Alligator mississippiensis: one gene and its partners. The protein of the gene in region 1 interacts with the protein of each later gene in a pairwise test. Links are inferred from orthologs where the notes say so. Each region holds a gene or a part of one and is shown in the gene's direction. Other genes may lie near its edges.

Region 1 (7,502 bases):
CGTGCTGTGCACGGGCTAGGGCTGTAGCCAAAGCTGCTCGCCGCTCCGGATCCTGCCAAGGGAGTTGTTGGGGGCTCTTCTGGGCTACAGATGCCGCCTGCTGGGCAGCTGTCCCCAGCCTTTCTTAGCCCTCTGCCGCTTCGCTGTCCCTCGATGTATCTGCTGAATGCTGGGCATGCAGCTCCTTTATTTACTGTGGAAGCTCTGCCTCCAAAGACTTGCCAGACCTGCAGGATGCAAGCTTCAGTCAGGTCCGAGAGGCTCTTTGCCCTGCCTCTGTGTAAGGAGCGGGACTGGCCTTGTCCAGCCCTTACCTGTATTGGGCTTGGCCAAGTGACTTTTGCCTGATTCCAGGGGCAGTAGAGTTCTGGTGACATACCAGAGTGGCCAGTTGCCACAGTGGGTGGGGGTGGGGATGAGGAGCAATGCACTGTGGGAATCTGGAGGTCTAACCCGATCCTAGTCATGGAATGCTTGGTGTCCATTGTAACACTGAACTGCTTCATGTAGCGCCAGTTCAAAATGGTATCCAATTTCTCAGGTACACTTTTGAACCTTTGCAAGAGGTTTAAACTGGTCTAAACTGTCTTGTACATCTGTCTGCTCATGTTTTAAGTTGTGTTTAACCAGTCTAAGCTTTACATATGTCCATGTCTTAAGTGAGATGAAGTTCAGCCCCATGCCTCTGTATGTGTTTTCTTCAGCACTAAAGTGATGATAATCTGGATGAAGTAAACCAGTATTTCTTGAGGCATGAATAGAAGATTGGCCAATGCTTAGCTAATAATGAGTGATTGATCTAGATATTAAATTGCAGTAATGTAACTAAGTGATGGTGACTCAGACACCAGCCCTGGGAGCCAGTTTGGGGGGAAGCCAAAAATAGCAGCTCCCACCACTAGTCTCCTGGCCACCATGCTACCATCAATAAAGGCTACCATGCCACCACCCAGGACACAACACTGCCCAGTTACATCCCTGCTAATTAGTTCACAAATATATTAATGCTTAAGCTGAACTGGGTAAGAATGTCAGGAATAGCAATAATGAGAAGGGCACTGGGAGCATATAAAATGGCACTAGTCTGATCATTGCCTTGGTTTTTATACCCTCCATTACAGCCCATGCCCTGCTTGATAATTGGTATACTGCATTCTGACTGCCTTAGGGGTATTTACAGTGAAACATGACCTGGAGCCAACTGAGCCAATGTGTTTTGCTAAGACCAGCTGCGCGCTGCTAACACCAGGCCAAACTCCAGTAAGACTGGTGTGAATCGGAAGCACTGCCATTGTCTTCACTAGTAGACTTGATTGAGAAAGAGTTGACTTTGTGTGGAGTCAGTAGAAATCCACAGCAGAGTTGAGCCAGCTGGAAAATTTTCAGTGAAACAGTTTTCCATTCATTCAAGCAGTGTTGAGAAAACCAAAACTTTTCACAAGAATATGTTGAGTTCAACCAAAGTTTCCCTGGATTTTTTTTTTAACTGGCCTATTTTTATTTCAGCTTTGCATTCCAGGTTTCATTTATTTTTCCTGTTTCTATTACTTTTGTGGTGACATAACTTACATGGATAGTGGTAATATGTAACAGTATGACATCGTACAGGAGGTAAAATGTTCTCTCATTCTGTCTCATCTTTACAATCAATTAAGGACAGCCACTACTTAATCCTGTTTGGAATACCTTCCTTTGTTTTTTAAATCAGGGGTGTCAAATTCATCCCAATCCCTACGCCAGATCCAGACCATAGGGCTCTTCCTGGGCCATATCTGTGGAGCTAGAGGCTGCAACCCAGCAGGTTCAGGAGTGGTGGTGGGAGTCCGGCAATGACAGCAATGGGGAGGCGGCAGCAGAGGTCTGGGGACAGTAATGGCAGGGAGGAGGCAGCAGCTGGCCAAGTGTCTGCAGGGTAAGTGGGATTGTGTCAGCACAGACCTAGCACATCCCCATTGTCACAAACAGCCAGGCCCCAGTGCGGCTTGGGGACCCTACAACAGGACATTGTCCCCAAATTCTGCAGGTAGCCTGGCAGGCTGTACAGAACAGCTCTGCTGGTCATGTTTGACACCCCTGTTCTAGATCAAAGTGTCCCCTGATTGTATTGTAATGAAGCAGTTTGACTAAGTGTCATAATTTCCTAAGAAACAGGAATCCTAAGTATCTAAGAGCTCTACAGTTGAGGTGCAACTGGTTCATAAATGGGAACATGGTAGAGTGTTAGGCATGGGGGATTACATTTTACATGAGGGTGGGATCACTGTGCCAGGGAAAGCTTTCAGATACATAGTACAAGGAACCCTCAAAGGCAGGTCATAAAATGATAGAAAATGAGGGTTGGAAGGGACCTCAGAAGGTTACATCTAGTCCAACCCCCTACTCAAAGCAGGACTGTCCCCAACTAGATCATCCCAGCCAAGGCTTTGTCTAGCTGGGTCTTAAAAACCTATGAGGATGGAGAGTCCACAACCTCTCTGGGTAACCTGTTCCAGTGCTTTACTCCCCTCCTAGTGAGAAAGTTCTTCCTTATATCTAGCCTGAACTTCCCTTGATGCAACTTGAGACCACTGATCCTTGTTCTGTCACCTGCCACCACTGAGAACAGCATAGCTCCTAAACTAGTCAAGCTGCTTTGAGGTCACAGGGTACATACACCCTTTTACACCAGCTGAAGTTATGGCCATTATTATCTCAATGCCTGCCAATTCTGATATGGCCCCAGGAAAGGGTATGAGTAAAAAGGGGAGTGTCCATTGATAACCTGGCCTCTTTTTGCTTTGTGCCCCCATACACACACAACCCCTTCTGGGTTCCCAGGAGGCTGAGTTGTCTGTGGATGCCCACGTTTTCTGGCAACTTAGGGTGGCCAGATGTGAGGGAGGTACCCGGACCCTTCTTCTAGGTATTGAGGTGGGGGGAAGATGAAGGGTTGCAAATGAGTGTCTAGTCAGGACACAGCTGGTTGTTATGTAGTAATGGAGACAATAGATGTGGGAGTGGGGGGCTATCAGCCTAAATTTCCCTTTCAGGGAAAGGCAGGCAAAGCTCTTTGGGCAGATGTGATATCTTTTATAAAATAAAAGGATATAGGCAGGTAAGGTTCTTTGGGTAGATGTGATTTTATAAAAGATACCACATCTACCCAAAGAACCTTGCCTGTCTGTGCCTTGCCTGCCTGCATCCTTAAACCAACACGGCTGCAACCAAAAACCCAGCCTTTCAGGGAAAGTGAGGCACAGGGGGAAACTGAGGCTTGGGAGAAAGTGAGCACAGTTGTTGGTTATGTGTGGAGCAAAGGGTTGGGGGGAGCGTCCAGGAACCCCTGCAGCTCACACATGCCCACCCACCCCAAGTCAGCCCAGTACACCCTGGATCATACGAGCAAATGAAGTTAATGGACCAGCTTTCTGTGCAAGTTCCTTGAAAGCCACAAAGTGGAAAGCTGCAGACACGAGCAGCCCCAGCTCCCCCAGCTTCTCGGAAACCAGGACCAGGGGTCATGGTTTTCCTTTCCCACTCCAGTGTGGCATTCACCACCTCTGGGTGGGCAGCATAGGGGCAAACCCAAACGGTCCCCAGGCAAACCAGCCAGAACTAGATTTAAGAAAATAAGTTCAGTGAGAAGAATTTATTGCAATGTTGAGAGTCCTGGACACACTGGATTCCCATAAGCAGGATCAGGCCCAGCCTTGAACCCAGCCCTACCCCTTTGTCATATGGAGACCTCCTCCAGTTCATAGCATGGTCTGTGTGGGGAAGAGAAGGGTGGTGTTTGCTGGCATTGCCTTGGTTATCTCCCCGAACACAACCTTCCTCCTTCAGCTTTGTTTGCTGGAAGCCAGGCTGCAGGTTTGCATCTAGTTACCTGGTTTCGCTACAAACAAACCGAGTTCAAAGCACCCACTCCTCCTCATGCCCCTCCTGTGGAGCAGGTAAGACAGGACGCTCTCTCCCTCTTTCTTTCTTTCTTTCTTTCTTTCTTTCTTTCTTTCTTTCTCTCTCCTATGCAGCGTGCTCTGCTCTAGCAGCCGGCTGCTTCTTGACTTTCCCAGAATCACCAAAGGTGTGCAAGTGCAAAGCAGCCCCTCAGGGCTGGGGTTTTTTTTTGAAAACCTCCTTTGACTGAAGAGATGTGAAGCTGACATGCCACTGACAGGCAGCTCCAGGCACTTCCCTGCTGCAAAGGAAAAACGCTGTTTAAAGGAAAGGCAGGGTTTGGGGGGAAGCCTGCAGCAACAAGGACTCTGCTCAGAAAGTCCAAATCTGTGGCATTAACTAGAAAGGCTGGCACTGCTGGTCCTGTCATGGGTGGTTTGACCTGTGACTGAACAGGGTCTTGGACATCTGCCAAGAGGGCTGCTTGACACAGCAAAAAGAGGGGCTTGTGCTAGTGTGGGGCAAATTTTTCTGGGTATTTTGTAGAGGAGTTAAACAGAGCTATTGTTAGTGGTTCTCTTATTATTATTGCCCACTCCTTCCCAGGAGAAGGCTGTGCCGATGGCCAACAAGGCCACAGAACCTCGCGTCCCCATGACCCTGCAGAGGTCACGTCTGAAGGCCGAGGAGAAGACCCTGGATTTTGAGTTTGAGGTGGTGAATGTGCAGTTCAATAAAACGGGAAGATATGCCCTGAGGTTGACTGTGGAGAACCTGCTGCTGGAGGGGTCTGGGGCTGGGGTGAAGCTGCGGGTGAATGAGGGAGACGCCCAGTACACCACCGTGGGGACCACCGACATCATTGAACAGAGCAACCCCAATGAGATCTGTTCCTTTGAGAGGAGGAAATTTATCTTCACTCTGCCCAAAGGTGAGAGGTTGCGTGCGAGGGGGAAAGGGAGGAGAGGAAGGGACAGGTCCATACAGTCTCACATAAGTCTAAACTCCCCAACTCAGAGCTTCCCTATTCATCACTGGTTCCTTGACTGTGAAGGATGGGTCTTCATTGACACCCAGGTACTTCTCTGCCAATGCTATATTTGCCCATGAGCAAGCTGGGCTGGATCAGGTTTTGCATAGGGAGGGTTGGATTAGGTTGGGAACTTGAGAAATCCAAGGGACTGTGCGGCTGGACCAGATGTGGGCAGGCAGGATCAACTCTCGAGAGGCAAGCAGTACAATCAGCTCAGGATTTGGCTTGTTGTAACATGTGCTTGTGTGGGTTTTGGGGGCCAGGATTCTGCAAAAATGACAAGAACCACGATGTGCGGCTCCGGATTGAAGCTCTGCAGCTCCGTGGTGCCTCCATGAAGAACAGCCTCCGGGCAGGGGAAGCCTTCTTTGCCATCTATCCTCGTACCAACCAGCCCCGGATCAACCTCTTTGCCAAGAAGGATGAGGATCTGTACCGTTACGACGATATCATGGCGCTGCTGCGGGTGGGCAATGACAAGCTGGCAATGCACTGTGGGAGGTTGGCCTACAGTGTGTGCTTTCATGAGCACCGCCCACCCGTACCAAAGGAAACACATAGTTCATCCCATCACCTTTCACCCCAGCCATCCACAAAGGAAGAGGGGGCAGAAACACCACGGCCATCATCCCCAATGCCCCTGAAGTCACTGGGAACCCCCTTGCAAGGTCACTCACACGTTACTCCAGGAGCATCCACAGACTCTCCTAGACATTTGCCAGCTGTGGACCTCCACACCTCCTCACCAGAGGTAAGAAACCTATGTCTGTGCAGGATGGAAAGAGTGTGCTGCTTCCACAGGGAAAGGATGAGATGCTTCCCACGGTTAAGAAAGGTGGGTAAGGTGGGCAGTAAGAGAAAAGGTGGTCTAAGCACCAGCTATAAGGCACTGAAATGCCTGAATTCAAACTGGGCAGGATCTGCCCAGCCTGCTACCTCTCCAGATGTTTGTCTAGAAAAGGGAATGTGTCACTGATATAACTTATGGTTGTGACCATCATTCTTCTTCCTGTCTACCAGTGATGCTCCAGGACATTTGTTTGCCACATCTCAAGCCACAGGGGTGCTGCATTTCAGTGTGGTTGTATGTGCTGTGGGCTGAAACCCCCTGCTAGCCTGCTCCAGAGAATGCATCACTCATTTCTGACCCTGGCACATCCCTGAGGACCCCACATTTTTCAGTCCTTCTGTGGTCCAGCAGAACCTAGGACTTGACCCTGCTTCTTTGTGAGACAGTGGCAAAGTGAGGTTAGAAGGTGGGATGGTCTTGCAGGTTGAACACTCCTAGACAAGAATAAGCAAGTCCTTTATCTCACCTGTTTCAAATGGTTCTTCTTTAGCTTTGTTTAAGGTGTGGATCAGAATAGGTCTGTCCATCCCATCCCACTTTAGATGGGATGGTCTTCCTGCTCTCACTTGGTCCAGTGCCTGAACCCCACTCTGAAGCCAAGAGTCTCACTCCCCAGTTGTGGCAATTTCCCAGGGCCTTCCATTTACTTCAAGACTGATGGTGATTCCTTTTATGTCCCCATTGTTTCCCTTTCCTTGCACAGTGATAAACCCTCCATGGTTGAGGTAGAGAGGCCATACGCTTTATAATTTCTCTGGGACACCATCTTTTCTTGCAACAAACAGACGGATCTCATTCTCCATCAGCCTTTGTGTTAATACAATGATCTATCCAACTAACCCTTTATTTACTTTCTGATATTGTCAGGTAGAGTCTTCTGTGGAAAAACCCCAGAGAAGCTAGAAGTCTGCTAGGACAGATTGCCCATGAAACCTTGTGTAACAAGGTGCCCTGCCTTTTTAAGGGCCAGGAGGCTTGGGGTTGGCCAGCAGAGCATAAATACCACACTCAGCTAGGAAGTAGCTAGATGTTTCCTATAGGGCTCTGAAAGAGTCAGGGTAGGAGGGGATTAGGCTTTGAAGTGGTTCTTGGTACATGGGGAGGAAGTTGCTTGAAGCAGTAGCTTGGTAGGAGTAGAGGAACTGGTTGCTTCAAAGCCATATTAAAAATTAAACTCTGCCCTGGAAGAGATCAGGCTGGAGCAATGAGTCCTCTCTGATCTGAGGGAACAAGGCAGCTTCTGTGCCTACAGGTAAGGAGCTGATTACACTTCTGCTTATGGAGTGGGGTCCTGGGCTATGGAGAGATGGCGATCCCAAGTGAGATGAAGAATCCCCTCCCCCAGGACCCTGGGGGTCCCATTGGGAAGACCTATGGGTCTGAGATGACAAGAGCTGCCCCAGGGATAGCTGCTGTATGGTGTGCCTTCATTAGAGCGACAGCCCTAACAGAAGCCAAGTTCTTACTCAGCTGAGCACCATGGGCCCCAGCTGGGATGGTGAAAGTGTCATCACTCTACAAGAAAATCCAGTGGGTCAGTACTGTGGCCAATGGCCAGGTCTCAGCTGCTTCATCTCTCTTGAAACTCGATAGAGCCCTGACTCTGGAGGAGTTTGTGTGGGGGATTGTTATCAGAGCTGATACTCTCCCCCAGATATTGCCTGGTCCATGGATGGAGGTGGATAGTAACAGGCCTGCCGTAGGATATGGTGGGCTAGTAGGGAGAAAAACAGGACAGGCCAT
Region 2 (7,508 bases), on another chromosome or scaffold:
CCCTCGGGGCGTTGTAGTGTCCCCTATACTTCCTGGTTTATACTGGTTACGTTCCCAGTACTGTTCTCTCATTAAAAGGTATATGGTTAAGTCCCCATTGGTGGTCTGGTTCTGCTCTATAGGAGGAGGAGAATCCCTACACCTCCCGCAGCACTTGTGCACCTGCTTTGATCCCTTCAATTGAAGAGGGGTACCTCTTGGAGTACTGCTCAGGTTACATACATTTTGTACAGAGTCTGATCCTGTCAGTGTGTGTTAGGCAAACCTGAGGAATGTCTCCTAGAACAAGCCCTTTAGGGGACTCGATGAATGCCTAGTTTCTGGATCCTGACTGGACCTAGGCATGATCTACATGTCAACCAGCTCAGCTCCATTGAGACTGGGGAAGTTCTGGATGGGGCAGAAATGCAACCTCAGGCACCTGGGGAACTTTAAAGTAAAAATGTAAAGTGTCTGTGGAGCTGAGGGCAGATGGCAACTAAGCAAATGTTTTCAGGATTGCAGGTTTGGATTAAAGTGTCTAAATGACACCTAAACACCTTTTTAAGCACCTAAATCCTTTTAAAGATCTGGCAGTAAGCAACTAGTGAAAAAAGATTTGCCTAAAGAGCTGACATAAATTTCCTGTTTTAGTAGCTGGGCTTCTTTAATGTAAAACTACTAGAAAAGAACAGTTTATTTGCTGACTTTGTTGACGATTGCCTCTGATAGCAATGCTTGTTCTCTGATAGTTTTTATGAGCACTTTCCTTGGATGCTACACAACAGAAAAGCCAGACTATCAGGAAATTTTCCCAGAAATAGGTGGGAACATTACTCCAATCTTCATGAGTGCTAACCTGGACTCCAGAATGTAAGGAAGAAATTAAAATGAATGTTTTCAACATACCACAATGAAGAACTAATGTGAAGAACTGGTAAATGAGAAACAGCAAAGTGACAGAGATGCCTTAGTACCTCACTCATTAGAATCTGAAATGCTCAGAATTTTTTGCAGAAAAGTGTTCCTTTCAGCATAATTATATGAAAGACCAGAGTAAAATTGAGTTAAATGAGGCAAACATATAAATACAGAGAGCCTGGAGTTTGTGGTAGCTTTACTTACTATCTTAATGATATATTTCCTTTAAATGTGTTTTGTTTTTTGGGGTTTTTTTCCCTCCCTGAGACAGATGGAGCAAATTAATCTTAAATGCAGCATAAGATATATTCCAGATCCTTTGAAATGCCAGTGCTTAAACATAACTAATTAAAATCATGGAAGTTAGACATAGAAAAGATCTATCTGTTGCTCAGCTAATAATCTACATGCAAAAATTGCACAAATTTAATCAGATCTGTTTTAAATATTTAAAAAGGTATAGTGCCACTCCCTTTTTGTGGGTGATCTGAAATCAGCTTAAAAGAGCCTAAAATCATTTTAGCTCATTTTTTATTTGGAATCAAAGTTAAAATGATTTAAAGTAAATCAATTTAAACAGATTTGCACTGATTTAACTACCAATGTGTGCATGCAGACCAAAGCTCAGAAACAGTAAGACTTGAGCACCAGGATTCTGGTTCGACCTAGTACTACATGGGGTGATTTGAGGAGTAACTGGTTTAGGAGCAGGTTCTACTACCAGGATTCATACTGGCTTGCATTACACCCTGGTTTCAATCCTTCAGAAACGGATGCACATATGTAATTTTGTACATGGGAACTAATCCATGGATTTCAGTGACATTACCCTACCTAGATAAGGGGGTGGACAGTCTGTCCCTTAACACTGTGAATGTAAGAGATATTTGCCATTTCCTTTGGCAGTGCAGAATTTTACCTGTTTAGACCATACCTGCTTAGAACAGGTCTAGATGACACAATGTTAACACTTATCTTGTATTCCTTATTTGTATTACTGTATGCCTGTGTTTTGTCTACACTAACACTGACAACTCTGCTGCCACTAATGCAGGTGAATTGGTTGTGGTCCAATAACAGAATCAGTGGTTGCACTATTACAGAAAATAGAGATGGAAAGAGCATGTGGTCATTACAGCATAATGTGCCTCATATTTTCAATGCATAATTGTCTGTTACAGTATATATTTTTTTAGTTTCTTCTATAATCTAGTTTTAAAAGTCTCATGTTCCTGAAACAATCACCACTTTCCTTGATCACAGTAAAATAGTAATAAAGAATGCAAAAGACTTGGTATTGTTATCTTGAGTATGCGTTCATTCTACAAGCAAAGTTTTCACTAACAGGAAGTGTGTACTCACTGAAGAATGAGATTGTATAAATAGATTTAGCTGAGATTTTTTCATCAGAAAATACCAACTTGTCAGACCTCAAACTTTTGAAAAACTTTTTTAGGGAAAGTTCCATAGCCCCAGGATAGAATTTCTTCTCAAAACCCAAAAGAGAGCCACTATATGATAGCCAGTTCTCCTTCCTCTGCTGGCAAGGTTCAGATATTTATGGTGTTCTAGAGCAGGAATATGAGGTCAGGTCCCTCAGACCCCCTGTGAAACCTTTCTTAATCACTCCTTCTGGGGTTGTTTCATTTTGTATGAATATTTGAATGGTGGGAGGGAAGAAGTGAGTGGGAGAGGGAAACTAATCTTCTTGTCCAATGGATTTAGCAGACAGAAGATGTAGGTTCAAGTCCTTGCTCCAATTAAACCATACCCAGAATACCAACTATTTACCCTGATGGTCAGGGCACTTCCCAAGCAGTAGGAAACCTGAATTTAAACTCTGCGTGCCTGACTCAGGGTAGGGCTTTGAATCTGTTTCCATCATGCTTTTTACATCCTAAATTGATGTTCTACCCACTAGGCTACTGGGTGCTCTCAAGCAGATCTCTCTACAGCCTTAGAACTTTTGGAGAAAACTTTATTTAAAAAAAATCTGTTTTGTCCCAGTGTAGAACAGGAATTTTCATTACCGCAAATAACCTTGTGGGCTGGGGAAACTATTATCTGCCCAGCTCTAGGTGAAATATGGTGATAAGATAAAGCTTCTCTTCAAAGCACCACATATCTATATCAACAACTAGGGAGAGGCTCAGAAAATGAAAATGGCTGGGGTTTTCGAAGGTGCTGATGGGTTTTAAAGTTCCTAACTTCTGTTATCTTTCAATGGGTTTTGAGCATCCAAATCACATAGGCCAGTTCTACAATAGTTAGATCAGTTATACTGGTATAACTATGTTGTTTAAGGAGATAGATAGATAGATAGATAGATAGATAGATAGATAGATAGATAGATAGATAGATAGATAGATAGATAGATACTATATATTTTATATATATCTATATCTCTATATAGATATAAAGATGAGAGAGAGAATCTTTACACCTTCCCTGTAACACCTCTGGTGCTGAGCACCCGGTTGTAAAATAAGGATGTAATATATATATCTAGATATAGATATAGATAGATATAAATATAAGTATCTATATCTGTCTACCTAGAGAGTATATATTTACTAAAATATCTGTACTAGTATAAACCCTATAATTGATATGGGTATAGGTGTGCCAAGGTGCCTTATACCTAGGACATGAGAGATACCACTCCCTTGTGATTCCACTACCTACAGAAAGCCAGCATGTCTTAACCACATTAGCCCAATGGAGCAGCTAAATTGAGGCAGCCCTTTGCCTGTGACCTTATACCCACATAACTTACTACATGTCCTGAACCATAAAAGCAGAATAAGCTCTGTTGGTATAAGCTCCTTGGTGCCATTATATAACAGTATCTACACTGGACATGGGCTGTGGTCATCTTAGCAGTACTAGTATAGCCATAGTGGTAAAACTTGCTTGTCAGCAATCCCTCTATTTGAGGATGGTCTCTACTATGACTTATTGATGAGTCTTGGGGTGAGGTCAAGAGGCCCACCCTTGCACCACAGATGGGTTGCACAAGTTGCAGGGCTTTCCTCAGGGGAGAGAGGGCGGCAGGAGGGGATTCCTCTCCTTTCCCTTCCTCCACTCTCTCTTCCCTGCTTCGAGGGCAAGCAGCTTAGTGTAGCTAAGCCCACAGGCATCTTTGGAAACAACCCCAGTCAATAAAACTTCAGGCAGGGTTTCATCCCTAAGAAGATAACAAAATTGCCATGTCCTGGCTCAGACCATAGGTGCATCCCGCCCCAGCCTCCTGTGTCCCACAGGGACTAAAAGGTGACAAATAGGCCCGTGTCCTACAGGCGCGGAGCGGGAGAGGTATTTCTCCCACTGTCCCTCTGGCACTTGCAGCCTCCAGCATCCCCCTGCCCGGGCTTCGCGGAAGCGTGGCCTCTTCCGACCGGCTGGGAGAGAGGGCACCATGGGAGCCAGCCGGAGCGGGCTGGGATGAAGCTTTGCTACCGGAGGGAGAGAGGGCGAGGGTGAAGGCGAAGGGGTCTTCTTCCCCCGTGCAGCTGCCCGTGTGAGGGAGGGGAGAGCTGGGGCCGGGGGGATCGCAGCAAAGGAGCTCCCCGCGTCCAGCCCCCTGCTCCAGGCAGGGCCCTCCAGCTCGCTCGCCCAGCCCAGGCTTTGTCTAAATAAAACCTGACACTCGTGCGAGGGAGGCGGGGGAAGGCGCGCGCGGCAGGGACCAGCTGCTGCGGGGCGGAGCGGCCGCGGCGGCGGCGGGCACTGGAGGCCGCCCCACAGGGGCCGGCGGGCGGGCATGGAGCCCTGACGCCCGCCATGGAGAAGGCGGCGGGCGGCGACGATGAGTGCGTGGACTCGGGGGCCGAGACAGGCGGGTGAGTGCGGCGGGAGAGGCGGGGTGCACTTGTTGCTGCTGCCTCTCGCTGCCCTTTTCTGCCTCGCCGGAGCCTCCGGGGCGCCCGCGCCGGCTCCAGCAGCCGGAGGCGCCGCGGGATGCTCGGTCTCGGCATCTCCCTGCCCCCAGCGCGGTCCTCCCAGCCGGGCAGAGAGCAGCGGCGGTGGGGCCCGAGCCCGTCCAAACCATCCCGTGCAACCTTCGTCCGAGCTCGGCACAAGGCTGCCCGCGGCGCGGGAGAGCAGCCAGCCCTGACCCGGTCCCAAGGGGAGCCGGGCGCCCCCCCGCGCCCGCCATCCCTGTCAGCTCGCCTCCCCGGCTCCTTGCGCCCGCGGTGTCGGGGCTGCCGGGGCCAGGTGGGCGCGGCACCGGCGGCCAGAAGCAGCTGCAGACGAAGTGGCGGCCCCCTTGCAGCTGCCGCCTCCTGCCCAGGGGCTGGGTGGGGGGTGGGTGCCCCTGTGTGTGTGTGTGTGTGTGTGTGTGTGTGTGTGTGTGTGTGTGTGGAGGGGAAGCGGGGTGGGAGAGTCTTCCTCCGCTCCTCTCGCACCTGTTGATCCCCCTGGTCGACGCTGTGGAGAAGCAGAGCCTGCGCCTGTTGGGGCAGATCAGAGGTCGCCCTCAAGCTGAACAGCTGAGGTCACCCTCAAGCTGTGCAGAGAGGTCCTCTTGTTGTCATCCTCATTTTAGAGCCGGGTGCTCAGCACCAGAGGCAGTGCGGGGGGGGGGGGGTAGTGCCGCCATGTCCTCAGAGATGCCACCAAGGAAATAAGCCCCACTCGCCCCCTCCGTGTCATCCCTGGAAACGAACCAGGCAGGTGGAGGCACCTTTGGGCCTCAGCTCGTGAGCTCTCCAATAGCCTACATCTGGAGTGTGTCGCGGGGGGGGGGGCTCTTAGGTGTGGTCGCTACCTCATTTCTGTACACAGAAGGGTCATGCGGGGCTTGCTTCTTCCGTGCCAGGACTCAGTGCTCTGCTGTCACAGTGTAGACCAGTGGTTCTCACCTTTTTAGACTTGGGTCATCTCTCGTTAGTCTCAGAGCACCCCTCAGGACATGCCAGCTCTTAGCTTTCACTCATTTCTTGGCTATGGAAAAATACTAGAGCAATTCATCTGTTGCAGAGAACCCAGAAAGACCACAAGTCAGAATGGTTTTGACACTAGATTCCCATTGGAAATCTCTGGGTTTATCCTGTTTATCATGTGTAGATGTTTGCACACCCAACAGTGCTAATATTGTGCAGCAACCCCAGCGCTCTGGTTGAGAATTACTGGTGTATTCATAAGTGACTTGTTCAGGGTCATACAGGTAGTCCGTTGGTGGTAGAGTCGGAATAAAGCCCAAAGCTCTTGAGGATCACAGCAGTGCTTTAATCACAAGGCTGTAATTTCTCCAACTCTCTTGCCTCTAGTCTTTACCACTGCTTGTGGCCAGCATTTGCCTTGCTCCAGGGGGGCAGAGGGGAGTTCCTATAGCTGCATTTCAGATGCTGCTGCTGTCAGTAAGGAAGCTGACTCTTTAAATGGGAGGCACTGTCACACTGAACTTGTATGGAGACAGCAGTGTCTGAGAGTTATGTCATCATGGCTCTCGGGGAACTCATGAGCAGGATCCCCTGGGAGGCCTCCCCTGGGTGGGAAGAGGAGTCCAGAAAAGTTAGATGTGCTTTTAAAGAACCTTAATGAAGGCACAGGAATGAACCATCCCAATGTGCAGGAAGACTAGCAAGTATAGCAGAAGACCAGCTTGGTTTATCAGGGAACTCTTCAGTAAGGTAAAACACAAAAAGGAAGCTTATAAGTGGAAACTTGGACAAACAACTAGGGAGGAGTATAAGAGTATTCCTTGTGTGCAAGGATGAGATCAGGAAGGCCAAAGCACAATTCAAGTTGCAGCTAACAAGGGCTGTGAAAGGTAACAAGAAGGGTTTCTACAAGTATGTCAGTAAGAAGATCAGAGAAGCTGTGAGTACTTTACTAAATGGGAGAGGCAGAGGTCAAAATACCACCGGGTGGTGGGGAAACAAGACAAGAGGAAGCATGTGCTGCTGAAAAGGGAAGCCACCTGGAAATGTGCTGTGGCTGTTGGCCAGGCTCTGCCCAGCAGCATTGCTGCAGCTGCAGCCCTGGGAGGCTCCCAAGACCCCAGGTAAGGTAGTTGGGGTCAGCCCAGTGCTGGTCTCAGCCTTCCCTACCGCTCTGACGGTAACTTGCCATGTGCTAAAGCATGTGTGGCATCGGCGTTCCCCAGGGACAAGTAGCAGCGGCTCAAGGTATACTGCTGCTACTTGTTCCCAGGGAACCAAACCATCCACATCTAGATGTGCCCTGTGAGCACAGGATCAAACCCTGAAAGACCAGGATGAGAGGTGGGAGGTGTTGGCAAAGACCTGGTGCACACATCATTTTATGTGCTGGAGACAGGGAGCTTAGGGACAGGAGAGGATCCCAGACTACTTGGGCTTGTGTGACCAGAGAAAGCAGAGAACTACATTTCCATTATAAAGCAGAACCTGTAAAAGGTGAGAGACTGAAATACCTAAGCAGAGACAAAAGACTGAATGCATGAGAGTCCTGCCAAAGGTGCTATAGGTGACAAGCATACTAATGTCAAGGTACCCAAGGGAGAGAAAGGGGTGCAAGTGCACCTGTAAAAACTGAAGTAGAGATGAAGTCTGTGGCATCTCCACTCTCAACACCTAAGAGTCCCCAAGAAGGACTTTCTGAATACCTGGCTGTAAGGAGAC
Region 3 (7,541 bases), on another chromosome or scaffold:
AAGAAGGTGTCAGGGCAGGCAGGAGGGAGGAGCAAGGAGGGACTAGTACCCATAGCCATAGGGCTAGAGATACAAATAGCAGGTTGTTTAATGACTGGTCAATTAAGCAATTAGCTGCTCCTTCACAGGTGCCAGGAAGCTGGCTGGAGAGAGATAACATGTTACTTAAAAGTTTAAATCAGCTGGGAAAGCGCTTAACCTGCTCCTACTGCACATGGGCTGTGCTTTTGGGGGGGAGGGGAAGCTTGCTGCCACTTCCTCCTGCCCCTGTCAAAGATACTGGGGAGCAGATCCCAGCAGCAGTTGTGCTCAAGTGGTCTGTGTGTAGTCCCTAGCAGGGCAGGGTAGATTCTGGCCCGGGGCTCTGCACCCTCAGGCCAGGACTAGGTATGTATTATCGGTTAACTGTTTAACCGGTATAATTAGAGGATAATAAACAGATAATTTTTAAACAATATTTACATCCCCAGCACAGGCCAGGGGTTGAGCACCCCTGCTATAGAGAATATTTCATAAGTCACACCTTGTGATGTGATATTCCAACTACTGTTGTTCAAAGAATCAGTACTGAACAATATACACAGTGCTCTTGACAGTTAAGCCACCTCTATATTAAAGTTTGGCTTGACCAGGAAGCATGTACACTAGCAATTTTGAAGCTGCTGACTTCAGCAAGGTACTTAAGAAATTGGGAATACTGAAGTCCTTGTAACTGGCACTACCAAAGTTCAATAGTTGTGAGGTCAACATCAGATGTGGAGGTAAAGAAAGAGGGAGAAGAAAGCAAAATATAATGAAATTGGATTGGCACTAGATACAGAAATGGGTGAGAGCTTTGTTCTACACCTATGAAATAAAGAGCCAAATTCCTTTTGGTTTGATGCAAAACAACGATGCCCAACCTTATCCTGTGGGATAGATGAGTGGCACAGGGTCAGTCCACAGACCAGATCCAATCTGCAGGCCCAATCCAGAGCATGGGACTAGCCCAGCCAAGGCCCAACACAGTGTAGATGGCCAACCTAGCCAGATTACGTCCCAGCTCCATGTGCCAGATTGGTCCCTGAATCCACAAAACTGGGCCCTGTGCCAGATGGTGCAGGATTATGGCATCTGGCCTATGGCTGCTTGGAAATTTAGTAGTGCGGGGTCAGGAGCAGTGACAGTGTTAATTGCCACCACTCCCCCACTGCCAAATTTCCAGACCAGTGGGGAGCCCTGCAGGCCACCAGATGACATGGCTGTGCAGATCATATCTGGCCCATGGGCCAAGCTTTCCTAGAACACTGCTGATGTAGGATCTGGGTCTGAGAAAATAACAAGAGAAGAAACATGCAGCAAGAGAAATGAGGTTAATCTAATAATTTATACTACAAATTACTACAGTATCTAGGCATCTACTAAATTGCTTTCTACCACCATCACACCCATAATCTAGTTTCTTCCCTTATCTTCTGTGGCGAGGTAGGTGGTGATACATCAAATGGGAACAAAATTCCCATTAGCACACAATCCTTTAAGACCTTCTCTGAAGTGAGGATGTCTTTCTTCATGAAAGACACTGAACTGCTAGTACTGGGCCCCTTAAATACTGCACCATCACATCATAATGTTGAGCCAGCACCACCCCACCTACACACAGCTGCTTTCATCCTGAGGCTGGCAGGGTTATTTAGAGTTTCTGCAAGATAAAAGGATAACAGGAAATGTCACCCATTCCTTCACCAACTCTAGTCAATTACTTCTGAAATTACATTACTTACCTTTCAAACCACAGCTTTATACTCTGCATAACAGCTTCATTAGGATAGAGTTGGTTCTCTCTAAAATACAGAAGCATGTCTAAGAGTTCTTTTTTTAATTTATCATCTTGTGTACCCTTGCAGGTATCAAAAAAGGCCTGCAGCACATCCATGTGTGGCATCACATTTTCGGCCACCATTTCATGATACAATTCTAATGCCAGTTTTACGTCTTGATTATTGAGAGCCCCTTTGATACAATATCCATAGTTCCCTTTAGAGGGGGGTGTAACTTTTCTAATCTCCTTCAGTAGCAAAATGGCCTCTCTCCAACGCTCTGTATCACTCAGACCCCTGATTAGAAGACTGTAACACCCAGGGTCTAAAGTCTTAAATCTGAGTTTAATTATATCATAGATATCAAAAATTTCTGCCACCTGCTTCTGCTGGACACATAGAATCAGGTACCCAAGCAATAAATTATACTTGACCTCCCCATTTCTCAATACCACATCAGCCATCAAGGACTTGGCCACATCTATGGAGCTTTCATACTTGATCATTCGACGTAACATTACAGTTTCAAAATTTGTAAGATGCTTTAATCGTGTCCTCCATTCCTGCCACTCCTCAGCATTCAAAGGTTTTTCTGGAGGCTGGATATCATCTTTTTTAGACAACCTAGGCAGTCTCATAGATGTAGGTGTCCGCTGCCTCACTGATCGGTGTTTGGCAGCTCCAGCAGAGAACGGGGACATAAGACTTTTCTTCTTGTCCTCTTCCCTGGAGCTCTCCTTCCTTTTTTCTTTTTCTCCATCTCTGCTTCCAGATCTGGACTTGTGCAGCATATGAACTCCTCTGAGATCCTGAGGTACTGCAGATTGGGAAGATGTAGTAAAAGGCAAACCTTTAACTTGATCCCTACTGCGGAGGTGAACCATGAGAGCCAGTGATTTTTGACAAGTGGAAGCAGGCTGGAACAGGAAACATCTACCCAGGAAAGTCTGCAAACCCCAGTTACTCGCTTGAAGGAAGAAAGCCATAAGAAATCAATATGCTGGGGAAGATTTCCAGGAAAGATCTCACAGTAAGTGCAGTTTGCACAAATAAATGTATAATTCAAATCTAAGGGCTGTCTAAACAAAAGGGCACATAATCTTAAAAGTTTCCTGAAAACAAAAGATGCCAAAATGGAGAAACATTTAAAATGAGCAAAATATTAATAAAAAAAATAGGATGTCTTTCTTCCAGAGAAAAAGGCCTGCAAATCGCTGTTTATTGTGGCTGTCCTACCATTAATGCTCTTTAAGGTTTGTCATACATGCATGTGGAACTGGGGAATACAATACAGCTTCCAAAAACAGAGCTCTTCTGCTGCTTCCCTCCAAATAAGGAAATGAGTCCCTAAAAATAAAAAGCAGACCACAAAGGACAACGTTAGCACCACTGTCAAAGGTAACATCCAGCAATTCAATTCAGTTTACATTTTAACAACAAAAACTGAACCACTTCAGGTCGAGATCCCAACTTTTCGTGCCTAGAGACTGCCGAGATGCTGCCAATAACACAAAGTTTCTACCCCAAGTCCATAAAGTTTGAGTAAGTGGGAACTGTCTACTCTGAACAGGAACAAGGAAAAACTTGTGCCTAGGCTCCCCATTAAGCAGGGGATGCTTTCTGGTAGCAGCCATCACCTGCTTTGCCGGCCAGTTTGTAGTAAGGGGCACCTCAGGAAGGCACACTTTTCTGTAGAAGGCAGGGCAGGGGGGCATCTTAAAGACTAACTGCTTCAGAGAAGCGTAAGCTTTTCTAGGCACATCCTGCTTCTTCAGATGCTACAAAGGGACTTCCAGAAAGCAGCGGTTCCAGATAGAAGGGAATTTAAACACAAACACTGGGGGTGGGGGGGTAGTGCTGAGAAAGGCGGCACCTGCAGCTCAATATGCCAAGGAGGACAAACAAGGCGATCAACCTGCTGAGGGACATGGGGTCATCACTGCATCAAACACCTCAGACTACCCGGGGTCGTTCACATTCGCCAGCACCTGCTTGGGCTAAAAACAGGCCGGGTCCTGCCCCAAGACAAGCCTGCTGTGCTGGGATCCTGGGCCCCAAGCCCATGGGCCTGCGCTCAGTACCTGTGAAGAGCCCGAATGAACCCCGAGACCACCGAGGGAGCCAGGGCGCTAACTCGAGGTAACTACCATCCAAGCTGTGCGTGTCGACGCCGCCCGCTCGGTGCAGGGCAGAGGCCGGGAGCCGATCCCTGGCCCCTCCGCCACCCACGTGGATCCGCAGCCAAGGCAGGTCTCGGCGGCCTCACCCCACCTCCGGAAAAGCTAGTGCTCGGCATGCAACGTGAGGCGGCGGCGGAACATGTGCACCCCATCGTAGCGCAAAGCGAGCTGGAGCTGGAGTTTGCGCCGATTGCGCACTCGCTGAAAACTGCCCACTGACCGACCCGAGCCCATGCGTGGCAAGCACCAACCTATCACCACTGCTAAACTCCCACCGAAGCGCTAGAGCCGGCCGAGCGGTCTGTACCCAGCAGACTTTTCAAGCTAGAGCCTCTCAGCCAATCGGAGCTCCCGCCGAACTCCTTCACGGAAGAGGGTATTGTGCACGTGACCGCCGGGATCCTATGAAAGGAGGGCGTCTTAGAATCACCTTAGTGGCCTTTGGACTCCATCTTGATTGTGGGCAAGAGTTAGGGTCGTGCTGGGCACGTGACGCAGGGAGGCATGGCAGCCCCTAAGATGGCGGTGGTAGCGGGCCACATCATGTGGGCACAGTAGCCCGGATGCGCGGTGGCTAGAGCGGGAGGCGGATTCGGGGCATGGAGTGGAGACAGGCGCTGAAGGGCCGGATTGCGGCCCGTCCCGGCAGTGAGTGGAGGCGTGAGAAGGTCGGCGCGGGGTGGCAGTAGCGTAGCAGGTCCTGCCGGCAGGCCCCGTGCGCGCATGCGTAGTGCGCCTGCCCCCTTGCTGAGGACCTGGAGGAAAGAGCAAAAAGCAGCGGCTGAGCGGGGCGCGCGTGCGGCTCCCGCATAGGCGGGGTCTGGCTGGGGGGCTCTGGGGGTCGTTGAGCCGGGTCCCAGCGCCCTCTCGGCTCTGTGCGCATGGGCAAAGAGCTCGTGAATTTGTAACGGGATACAAAAATAGTGCGTAGTTGTTGTTAAATCCTCCTATATGACTAGTCCTGTGCCTTTTCTTCCAGATGAGAGCTTCACACTTTGTTTTTAGTTATATTAACTTGCTCACAAAATCTAACCCCATGCAGTTTTTCTGATGATTTTCTTTGGAAATGGAACGAGTGCCCATAAACCCACACTGAGCCTTCACGGTGGGGAATAATTTTAGGATTGTAATTTCCCTTAAGGGTCTGGTTTCAGGAACAAGAGATGTTCTTTGATTATAAGTCAAGTATGTATAAAACCAAGCTCTACCTGTTAGATAATCCCTATTTCTAGCAGCACTAGATGTAAAACTGTTTTAAGTTGGTTAGACAAGGTTCTTTGGGTAAATCTGATATCTTTTAGTAGACTAAATAGCTGGAATTTTTTTTCTTAGCAGGTTTTTGGGTTTAAAAACCCTTAGGCTGAGGAAATATCTGCAGTTGGTGTGTGCTCTTCCTGGATGGAAGATAGGCAGTCAGTGAAGATGTAAATGAGGAGTCAGTGGGTGAGAGATGGGCTGGGGGGGCAAGGGGGAATGGGGAATGATTGAAGCTGGTAAATAGTGGAGAGGTATCTGGGAAGTCAGATGTCAGGCAGGTTATAATGTGTCATAAATCCAATGTCTATATTTAGTCCATGATTTTTTGTATCCAGGAGGTTGATGAAGTGAAGCTCATAGGCTCATCTATGAAAAGTGTTTTGTAAATTCCCTTTAAGGATTAAACCTGAGAGATTGGAGAGAGAGAGAGTGGTTTTCTTGTGAGAGAATCTGGAAGAAGAATTCCTCAGGGACTGTACCATCAAACCCTTGCTATGCTTAAATTATACTGATACCTTCATCATTTGGACTGAAAACCTGCAATCTCTGATTGAGTTCCATCAGAAATTCAACAGTCATCACCCCTCCATCCAACTATCTCTTGAGTACTTCAGCACCAACATGTCCTTTTTAGACACAACTATCAGTATCCAGAATAGTAAAATAAAGACCACGTTGTACAAGAAACCCACAGACCAACATACATATCTGCACAGAACTGGCAATCACCTTAAACACACCAAGAAAGCTGTGATATACAGCCAAACCCTCAGATACCACCAAATTTGCACTGAGGAGAACACCCAGGATTGCCACCTCACAAATCTCGAAAAGGCTTTCACTCAGCAAGAACACTCCAGAGAGAGAGATCACGTGTTAGAAAGAGCCACCTGGATACCACATGAAGAATTGCTGCAGTATAGAAGGAAAACCCCCATGAATTACAGGCCACTGGTTATGACATATCACTCCTCCCTCGAACCTATATGGAAAATCTTCAAACAGCTGCAACCCATACTAGAAGGAGATCCAGTTCTTAAAGGGATCTTCTCAGAACCACCCATCCTAGCCTTTAAACAAGCACCAAACCTCGCTAACCTCATCTCCAGAAGCAAAGTTCCTACCGCCTAAAACACACCGAATGGATACAGACCATGCTATAACAAGAAATGCAAAACCTGCCAACACATCTCCACCACCTTCACAGTTACTACACCCCACAACAGGAAAAAATCAGCATTCCTGGATTTTACAGCTGCACCTCCAGAAACGTAATATATTTCATCTGATGCACCAAATGCCATGATGGAAGATATGTAGGAGAGACCAAACAACTACTGCACACCAGACTGAATGCACACTGGAAATCTATCAATGACAATAATACCCAATTACCTGTGGAGATACATTTCTCACAAGAAAACTACTCTCTCTCCAAGCTCTCAGTTCTAATCTTCAAAGGGAATTTACAAAACACTTTTCACAGACAAGCCTATGAACTGCACTTCATCAGCCTCCTGGATACAAAATAATCATGGACTAAATATAGACATTGGATTTATGACACACTACAGCCTGCCTGGCATCTGACTCTCTAGGTACCTCTCTGCTATTTACCTGCTACATTCATTCCCCCAGCCTCTCTCTCACCCACTGACTCCTCATTTTACATTTTCACTGGCCACCTTTCTTGCGTGCACACCAGCCTCTGGCTTCTTTACTATTCATTCCATCCAGGAAGAGCACACACTAACTGTAGATGGTTCCTCAGCCTGACGAAGGGTTTTTAAACCCAAAAGTTTGCTAAGAAAATCTTTTCCAACTATTTAGTTGGTCTAATAAAAGATGTTGGATTTATCCAAATAACCTTGCCTAACTAATTCATTAGATCAATATGGCTACAACCTACACCCTTGTAAATTAGTTAATATTCTGTATATGTTTATAGCAAGTTTAGTTAGACTCCTCACTTAAATTATGTGCAAAGAGTTGCGCTAAATGCAAATGTGGGATCTGCCCTTGTCTCCTTTAGTATTTTTTGCCACAAAGAGCAAAAAACCCTTGACTTTCATACTGGAAAAACTACCATGATCTTTCTTCCAGGGTGTCATAGTAGTTTTGGAAACCCTCAAAAATGAGCATCCATAGGGAAATTGGACTATAATCTCAGACTCTGAGTCACCTACAGTGGAAACTAGGCACCTGTTTTGCCACAGCCAGGGGTAATACAATTCTTTAAGGAGCCTAATTTGAAAGTTCAGTGGGAGATCTTACTGCTCCCTAGCTATGCCAGTCATAATCAGGG
Region 4 (7,017 bases), on another chromosome or scaffold:
GGGGGCATGTCAGAGCTGATTTGAATCAGTGCCTCGACACAGTGGAACTTTCTAGCACAAGGCACGGTAAGGCAGGGGAAGTCTTGGCATGGTGAAGAGTTCCGACGTGGATAGAGTTCCCGCCAAGGAAATGCAGATTTGCATAATGTGATTGGCTGATGTTAAATTATTCCCATGTGGCGGCTGGCAATTGGCTCGCTAGCCATATAAAAGGTTAGGGGCGTTTCCGCCCTAGTTGGAGAACTCTGCGATTCCCCCTGGAGTGGAACTCCGGCAGCTTGATCACCTGCCAACGACTCCCCGTCGGCGAAGCCTTGCGACGTACCCTCCGTGTTGCATGCCCGAGTTAGACCCGAGCTACCCTGTCTACAAGAGCTCCTTGATTACCGATTAGAGAATAGAATTGTTGCAACTACGATTGCCTGCGCTGTATACGACTCTACAGTGTAAGTAAAGCTACCTCTGTTTTCCAATTGATACATGTCTCGTTTGTGCCTAATTCTGCTCCGGTGATAGAGAGTACCCATCTTCCCGTCACGGGATCGCAGCCGCAACCCCAGCTAGCGTTCCCAAGGACTCCTGATCCTCGATTCCCCCTTGGCCCCCACAGCTACAAAATGTCTCGGCCGGGCTGAGCCGACTCGAGGTGATTTAAAAACTGCTCGTTCGTCAGGGCGGGCTGGTGAATGGAGAGGCTGACAAGGCTTAATGGTTGTAAAAAACTTTACTTACGTCGCGGGTGGCTGCGACGGAAACGGTTTGGTCGTCTGGACAACAATGTGAGTTGCTTCAGCTGGTGAGGCCAATGCCAGTAAATTCGTCCGTAATTCAAGCCGGTGGAAAAAGGGTACGTCTGGGACTGCGTTCGGCGACGGGAAGAAGGATCGATAGGTGATCAGTCTATCGATCAGCTAGCCGCAAGTCGGATCTCTTTCGAGGCACTCTGCAGCGTGCTCAAAGCTCTTTGACTTGGGCGGAAGTCGCGCTAGTTTTTAAACGGCCAGCAAGCCAATTACCGGCCGCCACGTGTGAATAATTTAGCACTAGCCAATTACGGGGCACAAATTTACATCCGAATGGCAGGAACTCTTTGCACCATGCATTTCTGTGCTGCAAAGAGAATGCATCCTGCAAAAACAGCTGCAAAGTGGCGGGAACTCTCTCCTGCACGCGGGCTCTCTATGCAGCAAAAACCCTCGCTGTGCAAGAGACTCTCGTGTGTCAAGAAAATTCCATAGTGCCGAGGCACCAAACTCACTGGGTTATGACACAAAAGACCAAAGGAAACGTGTTATGGTGAGTGCTGGAAACATGAACTATGTCATGGAAATAGCATGCAATATGTTTCAAGTAATGTGCATAACTGTGTGGGGGCTTGTCCCTAATACATTAGTGATTATGGAGTGCCTACAGTATAGTCTAGTACCTCTTTTTTTTGGATATTGCGGTTTTTAGGGTGCCATTCTGTATGTGGATTGTGGCATCAAGAAAATTTATTTTAGTGTAGGAATATTACAGAGAAAGTTTTATGGAGGGGGGATAGTTGGAAACCATATATAAAAAAAACCCCCATGGAGAACCATATTTATGTTCACAAGACCAGCAAAAGAAGCTATAAGCTACAGTCAAGCCCTCAGGTGCTACTGTATCTGCTCCGAGGAAAATAGTAGTGATTCCTACTTGGGCAGCCTAAAATCTGTCATTATGCAAGGACCCTACAGTACCAAAATAGACTGTACCTTTGAAAGAAATACTCTGCAGTAACCTGCTACAATACAAAAAGAAACCCCACTGTTGCCACCTACCACCACACACTAGAACTGATTAGAAGAATCAAGAAACAACCACAGCTTCTGCTCAACAAAGATGAGACATTAGGGAAAATATTCCATGCCCCTCCACTCCTGGCTTTCAGAGAACCCAGTTCTCGCCCAGTTCACTGTCAGAGGCAAACTCCTCACTGTTCAACAGGCATCAAGTGGGACACAGCCTTAGCAATAAATGCTTAAACTGTCAACACACATCTCCGCTTCTACTATAATCAACACACCCCTCCGCCACAACAAACAATTCAGAATTCATGGAGAGACATATTTTCCCAAAATTACATTTCTGATTCAATGTACCAGATGCCCTCATGGAAATTACATGGATGAAACTAATCAACAGCTATGCATTGGAGTCTAGGGACAGACATTACACACACACCGGTTTAAACGATCAGAAACTTGTTTAAATTTGTAACACAACAGATGTTCAGTGCACATAAACCAGTTTGAAAATGGCTGAATCCGGTTTGAGATAAACCTGGTTGAACGTAGTATCAGACTTAACTGATTTGGCTCAAACTGGTTTAGGCAATGTCTGTCCCAGACCAGAGTGAACCTTCACGGGAAGCAGTATAAAGGACACAGACACACACATGTTGATAAGGAGCACATGTTTTATAGAACAAGCACTTCCTTTTTGACCTCACTATTCTCCTGCTCAAGGGATATCTACCAAAAACCTTTAAAAGGTGAGCTTGGGAACAGAAATTCATAAGCTGGCTGGACACTAGGAACTGAGGACTGAACACCAATATTGATTTTATAACACACTATAATCTACCTGATTCCTGAAATTATTCCTACACACTACAGGTGATAATGACCCTTTTCCTCTTGAAAGGTCTTGATCTCCCATCAATTGATCTTCTTTTCTTCTGCTAATTCTTTGTCTGCTACCCCTGGGAATTTCTCTCCCTCTCTAATTTCATAGATCTACCCACTGTGCCTAACAATTTCTGTGCTTGCTTTCTTCTTCAGACCTGAAGAAAAATGCTTTGCATTTAAAGGCTTATCTAATTCCAAATAAAGGAGCTGGTCCAATAAAATATATCACATAAAAAAGTCCTTGCCTCTCACATAACTCCTGGACCATTACAGTTACCACATGTCTCTAGCACTACCATGTCTTATTACATGACATACAAGAATGGATCCTAAATCTGTGGTTAGGGAGTTTTAGGCTAGGGGTTTTAGGCTTTATAACAAAGTTATTGAATTATGGCACAACCTAGGCCCTGAAATCATGGGATTTTTCAGGGTGCATGTGTGGAGTTTTCTTTTTAAATTAAAAACTTCAAATATTAAGTTTCTCAAGAGACTCATGACCTGTTACATCACATACATGTCTGACTTTATGCCCCTAAGAGTTCCAACTCCACCAGTGCTTAGAGGTTCCAGAAATTTGGCAACAGGGGAGCAGCAATTAATGCTGCCACTGCTCCTCTGCCACCAAATTCTTGGACCCATGGGGAGATTCATGGGCTGCATGACATGACCTCATGAGCCAGGTCTGGCCAATGGCCTGGAGGTTGATTACTACTGATGTAGTATATCACAAGTCTTTGTTGTTTTGCAGCCTTAATAAGTAGTTTGTTTGTCACAGGAAAACCCAAGGTGTGCTAGTACTATACAGCAGTGGTTCTCAACCTTTTTTTGTATCAGGACCCATTTGTAAACATTAATGGCCAGTCCCAACCCAGTGCCCCTCACACCCCAGCCCCCCACTGTGTGGGGCAGGTGGTGGATATGTGGGGCATGGGGGTTCACAAACACTGCTATACAAAAATGTAAGAGGGATTTTTTCCATCCCCAAGGTTATTCTTTTTTAAATCTGAAAGACACCAAAATAAATAAGTGGCCTTGTTTCATTTGAAGATGCTAATTCTGAAATGAATCATTGAAGTCAATGGTACACTTAGATTAGAATATTCTGAAATCTTTGAACAAATTGGGGTCATAATTTATAACCGACAATGAAAGAAGGGTTAGAAACACAAAGAGAAGCAATGTTTAGTAAACAATAATAAGCACAGTTTTAATTTTGAGTGAATGACCTGTATTTAAAAAAAATGTTGTGGCATTAGTTTTGATAAATCCTGACCAATGGGAATTGTTTTTCAAGTTACTGTGGAATGGCCTTAATGCTGCGAATAATCCTGTTGGCCAAGACCCCAGTGCTCTGCAGATGAGAAAAGGATGCAGGAAATTCTGTTGTTTACACATATGTCTGTAACACTGAGAAGCGAGAGCAGCCCAGCAAGCCTGAGGGTAAGGGGATTTAATATGCTTGCGAGTTTATGATTTAATTTTTTAATGTTCCTGTTGGGATAGAAGTTGTTGTCATACCCAGGGTGAAGCTGTAGAACAGCAGATGTGCATACCACCTGAAAAGATAATATGTCTGAAAAGAAATGTAATTTTTGAGTACACAACTAGTTTGAACTTTCCTTTCCTTTCCTTTCCAATTTGCCTCCGCTCGGTAAAGTTTATCCAGATATGTAAACTATACTTTGACTACTTAGATATAGTGTTTGCTTATCTAGACTAATCAGGGAAGATTTTAAAATCTTCAGAATATGTTAAGTGCTTTAGATTTTTATAAGTGATGATAACTTCTGAAAAATGAGTGTAAATATGTATTATTTGAAAGCTTCTACTGTCTTGGTGTGTATACGTGTATGTATAAAAGAATCAAAACTTGCTTTATTTTCTATTGCAATAGGAAGAGGTGGTGATGTTTTGGTCATTTTCCACAACCTCATACTGTACTGTACAGAACTTTGTCTCTGGAGTATAGTATTGTTTGAGTTTTGCTGCCGTGCTCATAAATTTCTGTTATTGTTAGCAGGAAGTTTTGTGGTCAGAAAGAATTTCTAATTTCAACAATGTAGATAGTGATAGTTATCTTAATTTCCTTCTGAAAAATACTTGAGTGCAGGCATGATTATGGACTAAGGGAAAAAACAGTGTTAGTCTTTTGCTTAGTTTTATTGCACAAGTGTAATGTAATAGGCTGGCACTACAGAAAGATATATAATTTGTCCACTCTTTGAAGGGGTGGATTCCCAGATGGAATGTGAATATGTGGAATATGTAGACCTATCCCTAGCCAGAGCTCCAAATTCACCAAATGATGTAGAACAGTCTAATAAACACATAGCAAATAGTTATAACAGAGTTTTTGTTCTTTTTTTAAAAATAGTAATGACCTGTCTTTCCATTCTCACTAATTTCATTACAGTTCCCCACATCATCAGTGTTTCTATAAATCAGCCTTGTTCTGTTAAGCATGTCAGAATATTGTTTATTTTGCATCTTCATAGATTTCTGCTGCAATTATTTGCCAGTGCACTGAAGATGCAAAACATTATATAAAAGCTAAGTATTATTAATTGGGCCAATTCTGTCTCATGCACTCAAACATTCCATTGAATTCTGTAGGAGTTTAGGCATGACATTTCAGTCCTTGAACCTAATCTTGCTTGCTTTTTTTGCATTTGTTAAATTCAGCCTGATATTTCCCTTAAAAATATAAAAAAGTTATGCTCTTAATTTCAGATTTGTAAAAGAAATGATTTATCAACATACATGGGCCCTAATCCAGCTGCTAGTACAATCAAAGCATTGCTATTGATTTTTGTAAATCAGAATAAATTAAAAGACTCAAAGGCTCCATCTTGTTTATCCTAATCTGCTAGTTGAATAATCAGATTAGTAAATTGATTAGTCATTATTGTTAAGACCTGCATGTATTCTTCAGCATTTCACATAACACAGCAAGAAACCTGCCCTACTTTTGTTGCACACAGAGGTCACAGTGAGACTGTTGCCACACAGAAGTTTCAGAGGTGGTTGTAAAGCACTGCTGGCCAATAGCAAGTTTTTAATGGCAGCTGCTCTCCACAAAAAATATTCTAGTACAATCTTGTTTCATGGTTCCTATATTTTCTGTTTTTCTTTGAGTTGTCCAGTAGAACTACTGCAACAAGCATGTATCCTCTTCCATTTAAATATTGCATTTTATACTTGCCCCTTTTCCTGAATAAAATGGTTATTGATCACTAGAAATAAATGAAAAACAGCTGGCAGGTTAGTACAATTTAATAATAGTGACAGAAGGACTTGACAAAAAAAAGTCTGTTATAAATCATTGGATCCTTTCATATCTCTTTATAAACAGGCTGTCCTGTAATTTGTAGACTTCATTTTGTGAATATGTTGAATTTGGTTTCATTTATTTTAACCGACTAGATTAAAAACAAAAACAAACAAAACAAACTTGAATTTTCCCAGCACCAGAAGAGGGAGCTATATGCTAAAAGATTCATATTGGGAGGGGGGGGGGGGGGAACAGGCAGTTATGTACCTCTGCTAGCTGTATGGTTAGAGAGAGCTGTGGTTTGAGTTTTTATTTTTTGTTTTCACTTTTTTTCTCTCAGCTCTGATTAACAGCAGAGCTGTGACACCTTTCTGACTGACACTGCCATGATTACTTCTATATAAAATGGTCCACAGAGTGGACTAAACAACATGACTTACCTAACCATAAATCTGCATATGCCTGGTTTAAGTTAAACCTGCTGGGTATATATCCATTCTGTAGAGGAAAATTTCTATGATGGTAGCAGAGATGTATTTTACTATCTTTACTTGAAACTATATATGTTATGGAAAAGTGGTTAAAAAGAACAGAAGAATCTGGGCAGGTCCTTCAAAATTTAAACATGCAGACACGTGCACACTTTTTCAAGAAGGATCCATAGAAATGGATACATAGAAATTTAAGGTTTTATCTTCTGATGTCATTATTTCTTTAAGTTTTAAGCCTCATTCTTCCTTCATTATCTTGGCCTCTGGTTCATGTCCTTTGCTTTTACTTGCTTCCTTCCCTAGCCCAGCAATTTCTGTTTCACTGAATACTTTAAATAGCAATACCAATATAACACTGCCACTATAAATTTATAAGGGTTTAATTGATCCCTTGACCTAACTGCATATCCTGTAATAGGAAATCCTTACTGCTCTTAGGTTTTTCCATATTGTTCTAAGCCAGGGGTTGCAAACATTATTTGGTTGTGGAAAGACCCAGCTCTTGGTAAAGCTGGACCAGTGCTAGTACCCAGATGCTCCTACTACCACTTCCCTCTACGACCAAGCTGAGACATGCCATGGGTGAAGTGCACGGCTG

What was found.
Region 2: the proteins of CCDC33 (region 1) and FAM124A interact in a two-hybrid assay, tested with the Homo sapiens proteins (2 studies listed by BioGRID and IntAct). The two-hybrid records come from large-scale screens. The link is inferred for Alligator mississippiensis from reciprocal best matches to the Homo sapiens genes CCDC33 and FAM124A.
Region 3: the proteins of CCDC33 (region 1) and PPP2R3C interact in a two-hybrid assay, tested with the Homo sapiens proteins (2 studies listed by BioGRID and IntAct). The two-hybrid records come from large-scale screens. The link is inferred for Alligator mississippiensis from reciprocal best matches to the Homo sapiens genes CCDC33 and PPP2R3C.
Region 4: the proteins of CCDC33 (region 1) and CCDC102B interact in a two-hybrid assay, tested with the Homo sapiens proteins (2 studies listed by BioGRID). The two-hybrid records come from large-scale screens. The link is inferred for Alligator mississippiensis from reciprocal best matches to the Homo sapiens genes CCDC33 and CCDC102B.

Annotation. Positions count from the first base shown.
Region 1 is NC_081834.1:42,251,645-42,259,146, reverse strand, and holds the start of CCDC33 (coiled-coil domain-containing protein 33), read left to right. Parts: upstream 1-4,482; 5' UTR 4,483-4,497; coding exon 4,498-4,807; intron 4,808-5,172; coding exon 5,173-5,660; intron 5,661-7,502.
Region 2 is NC_081824.1:415,959,010-415,966,517, forward strand, and holds the start of FAM124A (protein FAM124A), read left to right. Parts: upstream 1-4,499; 5' UTR 4,500-4,683; coding exon 4,684-4,742; intron 4,743-7,508.
Region 3 is NC_081825.1:256,630,325-256,637,865, reverse strand, and holds the start of PPP2R3C (serine/threonine-protein phosphatase 2A regulatory subunit B'' subunit gamma), read left to right. Parts: upstream 1-4,537; 5' UTR 4,538-4,578; coding exon 4,579-4,627; exon of another isoform or gene 4,628-4,647; intron 4,648-4,823; exon of another isoform or gene 4,824-4,902; intron 4,903-7,541. Other genes in the region: PRORP (mitochondrial ribonuclease P catalytic subunit), read right to left, coding at 1,764-2,785. UniProt on the Homo sapiens protein: May regulate MCM3AP phosphorylation through phosphatase recruitment. May act as a negative regulator of ABCB1 expression and function through the dephosphorylation of ABCB1 by TFPI2/PPP2R3C complex.
Region 4 is NC_081826.1:103,260,319-103,267,335, forward strand, and holds the start of CCDC102B (coiled-coil domain-containing protein 102B), read left to right. Parts: upstream 1-3,995; 5' UTR 3,996-4,097; intron 4,098-7,017. UniProt on the Homo sapiens protein: During interphase, forms fibers at the proximal ends of centrioles to maintain centrosome cohesion. During mitosis, dissociates from the centrosome following phosphorylation to allow centrosome separation. Contributes to CROCC/rootletin filament formation.